2 linked regions of the Oryzias latipes genome follow. The protein of the gene in region 1 interacts with the protein of each later gene in a pairwise test. Links are inferred from orthologs where the notes say so. Each region holds a gene or a part of one and is shown in the gene's direction. Other genes may lie near its edges. The genes, in order: atp10b and tmem30a.

Region 1 (3,824 bases):
ATACTCAATATCACCTGGACTGCTATGCGAAAGATGGACTCCGAACATTGTGCATCACAAAGAAGGTACAAAATCCTGCATCATAAAGCTGAACAGCATATTTCTTTTATTTGGGCTTGTGTTGTGATTCATTTTTTTCCACCTGTGTTGCAGATTGTAAGCAGCAGAGAGTATCAAAGCTGGTTGGCAGACAGAAAGAGAGCTCTTGCAGCTATAGACGGCAGAGAGGAGCTTATGATGGCCAGTGCTGTGCAGTTGGAGACAGAACTCACCCTGCTAGGTAAATCAGACACTTTTTTCCCCAACACAACTAACTCTGCAACCAGGACACACAAAGTAAACCTTCTTTAGGTTTAAATACCCACTTTGAAGAAAATTGTGCTTTTGCTGTTTTTAACATGATGATTAACAGATGGATAAAGGGAAAGCGGGGCGGTTTAACTCTGCACAAACAGTCCCGTCAACAACTCTGAGGTGAATTTCGAAACTATGTCCTAGAAAATGACAGTTTTTTAAAATTTTGGCTAAAAATGGCATAACTAAATTTAAAAGACCACTAGGGACACTTTTACAAGAGATCGAAATTGGCAGATACTTTGTTGTTTTGGAGCTTTAAAGTTTTGCATTAACTCAATTCCATCAAGAAAAGATGCTGCACATCAATTCAGAAAGAATCATGAAAAAACTTCTGAACTGTTCAAATATCCTTTTTTTCATGAAAGATTTCATGATTAAAAAAAACTGTTAAAGACCAGCTTTGAGCAGCCCTGCAAAATGACTCAGAACAAACCATATTCAGAGAAGTTAAAACAAAGCTACCTCCATCCATCCATCCATCCATTTGTAATCTATCCATTCGTCCATCTTCAGATCAGGCTGAATCCCTTTTGAAGACACATGCTTGCTGGTTACTGTTGGGCGAAAGGAGGGTACGCTGTGACCAAGTTGCCAGTCTATTGCAGGGTCACACTATCACAAACACATCTAGGGGCAATTTAGAGTCACCAATTAATCTACAAAGCCTTAGTGTTTGGAGAAAACCCACGCATGCACAGGGAGAACGTGCAAACTCCACACAGAAAGGCAACGGCTGGGATTCAACAAGGGACTTCTCCAAGGCGAAACCACTGCTCTACCTAGCCAACAAAACTACTTCTGAAACCTAAAGATTAGTTAAAGCTTCAGATAACTCTTAGAACCTTAACCTCCACAGAAGGAACGTTAAAACAAGCAACCACCTCTTGTTTCGATAAATTGACAATACAAAGACTCAGTCTTTAAAAATAGAACATTGCAGTGATGATTATGTATGCAGTGCTGCATCTGAACCTAAACAAAGTCTCACCAGGTTTAGCTTCAAGCAAATGCAGCATATAAATCTGATTAGTTCACAGAAAACGGTTTTGCACATGACGATTTCCAGTAATTTTGGTTGTCCAAGATTTTACTTTTCAAACTTGTTAAAAACCGGATTGTGCTCCATTTTAACATCCTACAAATACAAGTTTACTATGTTCCATTAAATGACCTTATTGAGGAAATAAAATGGGATTTTTCACCTTCATCAGGAGCAACAGGTATCGAGGATCGCCTGCAAGAAAGCGTCCCAGACACCATCACAGCTCTGCGGGAAGCAGGGATCAAAGTGTGGGTGCTGACAGGTGACAAGCCAGAGACTGCTCTCAACATCGGCTACGCCTGCAGGTTAATGGAGGAGGGAGACCTGGTGATTAACATGAGCTGCAAAAACAAGGTGGGGACGCTCACTTATTGTTGGGCATGGTGTGTTTTAACAAAAAAAGGAGAAACTTTTCCAGTCTTGAAGTACTGAATGTGGGCTAAAGGGGAGTTGGATTTTACCTTCAAGTGAAGACTACTCAAGCTCTCCTGTCCTAATATGGTGAAACAATATAAAACCTAAAAAAGAAGCTCATCTGTTTTGCTCAGAACCAAACCAATGCAAATCATCTCTCTGCTGAGATTACTGACTGCAGATCCTTAACAAGGCAGATGTGACATATGTTCCTAACATTTAAGGATTCTTTGAATTATCTTTTAAGGTATTTTTACAAAACACAGATCATCTTTCTTTTTATTCAGTTTTGTGAAAAGATTAAAAAAAAAAAAATTTAAAAACTAATAATTGGACTAAAAGTGGATTTGGGGTTCAACATATCCTTACATGGACAGTCAATGTATTGTTGGTCACATGGATGCTCAATTAAAAAAAAAAAAATCAATTAAAATATAACCGTTATTTGAATGGAAAGTGTTACTTTAACTCTGGAAACACACCAAGAAAACTGACAAGTACAAGTTAGGGGAATTGAAACTTGTTTCTGTCAGGTTTTCTCCTTCTGGATTTGCATTCAAAAAACAATAAATGAAATCTAACATCCAATTAAAGACGGGAATATTTTATAATATTTGTGAAAAAGGAAAGCTCTGATTAGCAACTGAAAAGACTCATTAAAAGATGTTAAAATATTCATGATCAAGGCTAAAATAACAAACCAAATAATAAGTAATGCTACAAAAATATTTCTCCTATAAGATTTGATTTTGGCCAAAGATTGATCAAGAATTTAGTTAAAATTACATGTGAATTGATTCTATTTTGCGAAATAGCTTGAACTAATTTCAAACAAAAAACAGCAAACACATTTAGAAACTGTCACCATAGAAAAGTTGAAAATTAAGTCAGAGTTTAGCCTTTTTGAAGACATTACCGTAAATGAAAATAGTTGAAATGTCACTTCTATGTCTTCTCATTTAAGAAAGCAATGCTGTCTTTTCCTGGTGGTCTTTGGTGAAAAGCGGTGTGCTTTCCGAGCATCTACCTTCTAATTTAAAGGACTGAAACCTTTCGAACCACTTTTCACAATTTAACTAAAGGTCAAACGCTCACATTTCCATCAGGGGAAGATGAAAAATGTTCGTTGGGGGACCTGCCTCTCTGAGGTCATTAAAGATCTGGTAGCGCCGGAGCAAGGTTTTCATAAAAACCCGACTGTGTCTACTCATCCTGACGTCAAATGGCTGCCAGCTCTGACGGATACCCCAATAAGTTTTTGAAATGAGGGGGCCGCTGCGCATCCTTTAGAGGCACAGTGACTGATGATGAATGGAGTTAGATGCCCCCAACCCAATAACTAGTGCTTTCATATCTAATTACCAGTGTAATATTTAGATCTCACAGGAAATTTACTTTAATGAACAGGATTTTTAACAACCTTAGCTGATAACCACTTGTGACATTTACTTATAAGCACTGCCCCACTAAGTGTAATGAAATTTAGCCAGGACTGAGCTGCTTGTAGGAGAAAGTATAAACATGGATCTTCCTTTTTTTCAATTTAATTTCCTTGTAACCCAGTTTGAAGCCGTTTAGCATCAACAATAAATCTGATGGGCCTGCTTCTGCAAAAGATAGAGAAATCTTTGGACTCTTAGACCTGCAAGACAAAAAAAAGATGCAAATATTGAACTTTTACATTTTATCATAACATTTTTTTATTAAGAAGAACTTTTAGCTGATTTTTTTTTTTTTTTTACTGAGTATGTTTTATTAGGTTTTACCTGCTTTAGGCATCCCGTGCTATTTTGTGTTTTTTCTTTGGTTTCATTTTGTTTTAACATTGTGAAGCACCTTGTAAGTTGCTTTCTGAGGGAAGTGCTATATAAAAGAAGTTCTTTCTTACACTCTTGTGCAAATTTATTTATAAAGTTCACATTACTTATTACTGGGGGGAAAAAACAGATTTTTTACATCTTATTTTAGGTTTCAACATTAAAACTAAAAGTGGAACATCTTGGAAGTTTTC
Region 2 (4,524 bases), on another chromosome or scaffold:
TAAATCTCTGCCAAAAACTCATCTTTTTACATTAGCTTTTAACACCAGGGAGAATGATAATTAGGCAGCTTTTTTTTTTAGTGTTTTCATTTATTGATGATTTTATTGCTATCGTTTTACTTTGCTTCTTTGAATTTTACCTTTGGTTTTAGTGTATTTATACTTGTGCAGCACTTTGGATGTCTGGCAGATGTTAAAGTGCTATATAAATAAAGATTGATTGATTGATTGATTGATTGATTGATTGAACATCATGCTGGTGGATCAAGTTTCAGACCCTTTCAGGGTCAAACTCATAGATTTTGGTTTGGCAGAGAAAATTAGACATATGCGTAGTGGAGCTACGATACAGAACATTTGCTACAGGGCAACTGAAGTCATCCTGGGTCTGCCCTTAGACCAACATGTAGATTTGTGGACAGTTGGCTACATTCTCTTTGTGCTGTACACGGGGACCTTTATTTATGGATGGGACACCGATTATAACATCATCCGAGCCATGGTGAAGATGCAAGGCATGCCCGAGGAAAAAGTTCTAAACCAAGGGTTTTACACCACAAGGTTTTTTACCAAGACCAAAGAAAACTCTCAGGATGTCTGGAAGCTGGACACACCCCAACAGCAAAGCAGGAAAAAAGGGAGACTGGTCGAAGACGACATTCAGTTCTTGTCCTGTGACCAACTCATCCACAGCTGTTTGGACAAAACAAAAATCAAAGAAGTGGAACAGTTAGTGGACCTGCTCAAGCGGATGCTAATGGTGGATCCAAGCAAACGCATCTCTCCAAGTGAAGCACTACAACATCCATTCTTCACGATGGGGAGGGTGCAGCCCACTGCTGACACTCACACCACCAACCCTGAAGAGCCACCAGCAGTGGAGGTCCACCTACAGCCTGAAGCAAAAGAGGTCACCAATCCTCCAAGACCAGCTGCTGTTTCCCAGGAATGTTTCAGAATGAAAAAGAAACCATGCAGGATTAATTTATTATTATTTATAATTGATTTATTATTATTATTATTATAATTATTGACTTATTATGAATATACTGTTATTATTTATTATTATTATTGACTTATTGTTGGGCTTTTCTAAAGAATTGAAAATTACATGTCAAAGAGGTCTAAAACTTCTAGTACATGCTTTAAAATTATTTTTAAAAATTCTTTGTAATTGTTTTTTGTAAGAAGTCCTGCTACTGTGCATTTTTCATTAAAGTTTGAGCTTTTAATGCTGCCTGTTTCTCTTATTTAACAACAACAAATTATTTTATGTATGTATATAAATGATATACATATATATTATATATTTATATAAATGTATAAATATATATAAACATAAATATATATATAAATTATATATAAGCTACTTAGATGCCACCAAAGGCTATAGAATGTGGGCGCCGTCGACCTCACCAAGATGGCGTCGCGCTCCACCACCGTCGGCCAGGCTTCCCAAGCGGGCGTGTCTCCTCTAGCGTTATAACTCATTGAGTTTGACACCCCTGCTCTAGAGTGCTCCTCTCGGCTACACCAAACATTCTCCGGTGACGTCACTGCCACGTAGCGCCGTTCTATTGGGCCAGCAGCTTCCGGTTTCTTCCCAGCCAGGATTAACGAAAGTTGTCAGATCGATACAAATATGAGTCGGCACTTTGACTAGACGGGGGGATAAGTTCAGTTACCGGAAGACTTCTTAGGTTCTTGTTCCACTTTTTTCTTCGCGTCCGAGATCCCCGCCTAGCTCCCAGCTGCCAAGTGTCGGGATTGTTTTGCTCGAAGCGGTTAGCGAACCATGATGGCGTCAAGCTACAACGCTAAGGAAGAGGACGGCCACCACTCTGGCTCTTCGAGTCACGGTGGACCAGGAGCAATCAAAAGCAAAAAACCGGACAATACAGCATTCAAACAGCAAAGGCTACCCGCTTGGCAGCCGATTCTGACGGCGGGCACCGTACTGCCGGCGTTCTTCGTCATCGGCCTCATCTTCATCCCCATCGGCATCGGGCTGTTTGTGACTTCAAACAACATCAAAGAGTTCGAGGTACCGTTTCCTAGTCGAGTTGGATCGTTAAAAGATCTACATGTCAATCATTCCAAATGCAACCAGTACTTCAGCTGTCAACACTTTCAAAGAAGAGCAGCTAATTGTGTCGCATTAATTAAATGTTGTCACATTTGTTTTTAAAGTAAAAAAAAAACCTCACATTCACATTATTTGAACAATTTGGGGTCATAAACATAAATTATTTTGGTGAGCTTCTGCTGTCTTGATATTTTGCAATGCATTGTGGGTAACTTTGTATCCAGTAATGTGGAAGTGTTCAAGTATGCAGTGGTATAAAAGGCTTATAGACTGTTGAAAAAAGGAGGTTAATTGACACGTAGGTGTCTATATATATATATATATATATATATATATATATATATATATTATAATGTGTGTAAAATGTAATATGTTTTGATTACATCAATCACATTGTGTCCCAATGGATTCTTGACAGTCATGACTGAAACATGCTATGTGCTTGATAAGAAGTCTATTAAAAGTTCCAGCACAATTTTGTTCTCTTGTCTTGTCATTAAAGATTGTTCTCTTGTTTTTGTTTAGATTGACTACACTGGTGTCGAGATTGATAGTCCATGTTACATATGTGCTAAGAACTTCAGCTGGAACAGCACAACATCATGCGTCTGTTCTGTGAACTTCACTTTGGACCAACCCTTTGAGGTTAGTTCTGGTTATTTTGTTACTAAATGAGCTTTATTCATCAAATGAATTATTCATGTCTTCAGCCGTATCACCGTGTGTCCCAGACACAAAGTACCCATTTGGATCTATTTAAGGTCCAAACTAGAAGGTTGTCGTTGAATGATGTTCTTATAAATTATGCATTCTGGGTTTTTAGCAAATCTCTATTGATCTTTCAAAAAAAGCTTTAAAGCTGTTTGATTTTTTTTTACACCTGCCAGGAAGATGCACTCAAATAAATACACTTTGGAAACCATTCTTTTTTTTTTTTTTTTTTTGCTGTGAAAATAAAAGCCCAAATCATTTGAAATTAGCTTAGCATTGACCGCTGTCTGCGGTGAATCAGGAAAAAAAGTGTGTGGAAGACCTTTTTCTATAACTTTTTGCTAAAATAATTTATTATAATAATAGTTAATAAAATGAAATATATATTTTTAATGATCAAAATGCTCCTTTTTTTTAACTTTTCAAGACATCTTCTTCCTGTTTTTAAACAGCAGCTCATTGACACAACTCCTGCAGAGTTGTCATGTATTTGCATGTCAGCATTTTTTGCATCTATTTGCTTTTGCAAAACAAGTGGAACAAAAAAAATCTGACAGCTAAGGAAGTGATTGACTTTTTTCTTCTTCTAGTTTTACAAAAGACATTTCTACTCAACAAGATCTATATTTATCTATATTTTATTTATATTTATCTATATTTTTATCTATATTTCAGTGCAGTAAACAGTTATTGGGAGTGGGGGGGGGGGCACAAAAGTGTACATATTCCAAGTCAAATCTGTGCGGTGTTGTAATTAAGATGAATTAAAATGAGTCAGCTGTTTCCTTTCTAAACATAAAGCTAAAAAAAATCCTGTGCTTTGATCATCTAATTGTCTTTATTTCTGTACCGTCTGCCAGTTATTGAAGTGGTTGGGATTCTTTGTGGCCTTTTAATGGCTGCCTGAGCAGAGCTGATGCCTCTTAGCGGAGCATGCTCTGCAGCGGACAGGAGAGCGGTGGAGTGCCAAAAGGCCATCGACAGATTCTCTCCTCTTTTCTGAGTGCTGTACTTTCAGGCAGTGCGGTCTCCAGCGGGCCCTGCTGTTGTACTTTATAGGATAGTTTACGTGGCTGTGGAAAGTCTGTAAAGATTCACTCTGAAAGTTGTTTTCATCTTTAACATGTATTTGGAGGACAGGTATTAAGAAAATTAAGTTCAAAATTGCATTTTGGAGTATTTCTTTATTCAAATCTTTGTGAACTTTATCGCTAAAAGAGCCCTTTGGACACGATACCATCGTGATGGCTGACTGACATCACGATGGAGAGACACCATGATGCCACGCCTCCGCCACGCTGCAAGTCGACGGCAAAAGCCGCGGTTACATGTGCAAAATATCTTGATCGGATCAATGGTCGGATTAGACTTCAACCGTGTACGTGGGCCCAGAATAACCTTTCTGATTATAACAAACATTAATGGTCACACTTTAGGTCAGAATAAATCCTTCGCACATGTGCAGTAGTGTTTGAAATGCTGGAAAAGGAAATGAGTTCCGCTGAGAGGCTACATACATAGATATCTGGCAGCTCCGTAATGTACTAGATGATCTTCTAAACATGCTTTCATTAATATTACGGTTATTATGAAGCCCCTGTTCGCTCATTTTAATTGAAATCCGTGTGGTCAGTGCTTTATCTGTTGAAGAACGGAGCTGGAAGAAGCCAGGGTTAGGAGAGGCTAACACATGCTAACAACATTAGCTTTGTTTAATGAACAGAAAA

What was found.
Region 2: the proteins of atp10b (region 1) and tmem30a interact in a protein complementation assay, tested with the Homo sapiens proteins (2 studies listed by IntAct, with this or other methods). The link is inferred for Oryzias latipes from reciprocal best matches to the Homo sapiens genes ATP10B and TMEM30A.

The regions. Positions count from the first base shown.
Region 1 is NC_019868.2:17,520,832-17,524,655, reverse strand, and holds part of atp10b (probable phospholipid-transporting ATPase VB), read left to right. Parts: coding exon 1-65; intron 66-153; coding exon 154-280; intron 281-1,568; coding exon 1,569-1,753; intron 1,754-3,824. UniProt on the Homo sapiens protein: Catalytic component of a P4-ATPase flippase complex, which catalyzes the hydrolysis of ATP coupled to the transport of glucosylceramide (GlcCer) from the outer to the inner leaflet of lysosome membranes.
Region 2 is NC_019880.2:15,986,449-15,990,972, reverse strand, and holds the start of tmem30a (cell cycle control protein 50A), read left to right. Parts: upstream 1-1,568; 5' UTR 1,569-1,795; coding exon 1,796-2,044; intron 2,045-2,611; coding exon 2,612-2,731; intron 2,732-4,524. UniProt on the Homo sapiens protein: Accessory component of a P4-ATPase flippase complex which catalyzes the hydrolysis of ATP coupled to the transport of aminophospholipids from the outer to the inner leaflet of various membranes and ensures the maintenance of asymmetric distribution of phospholipids.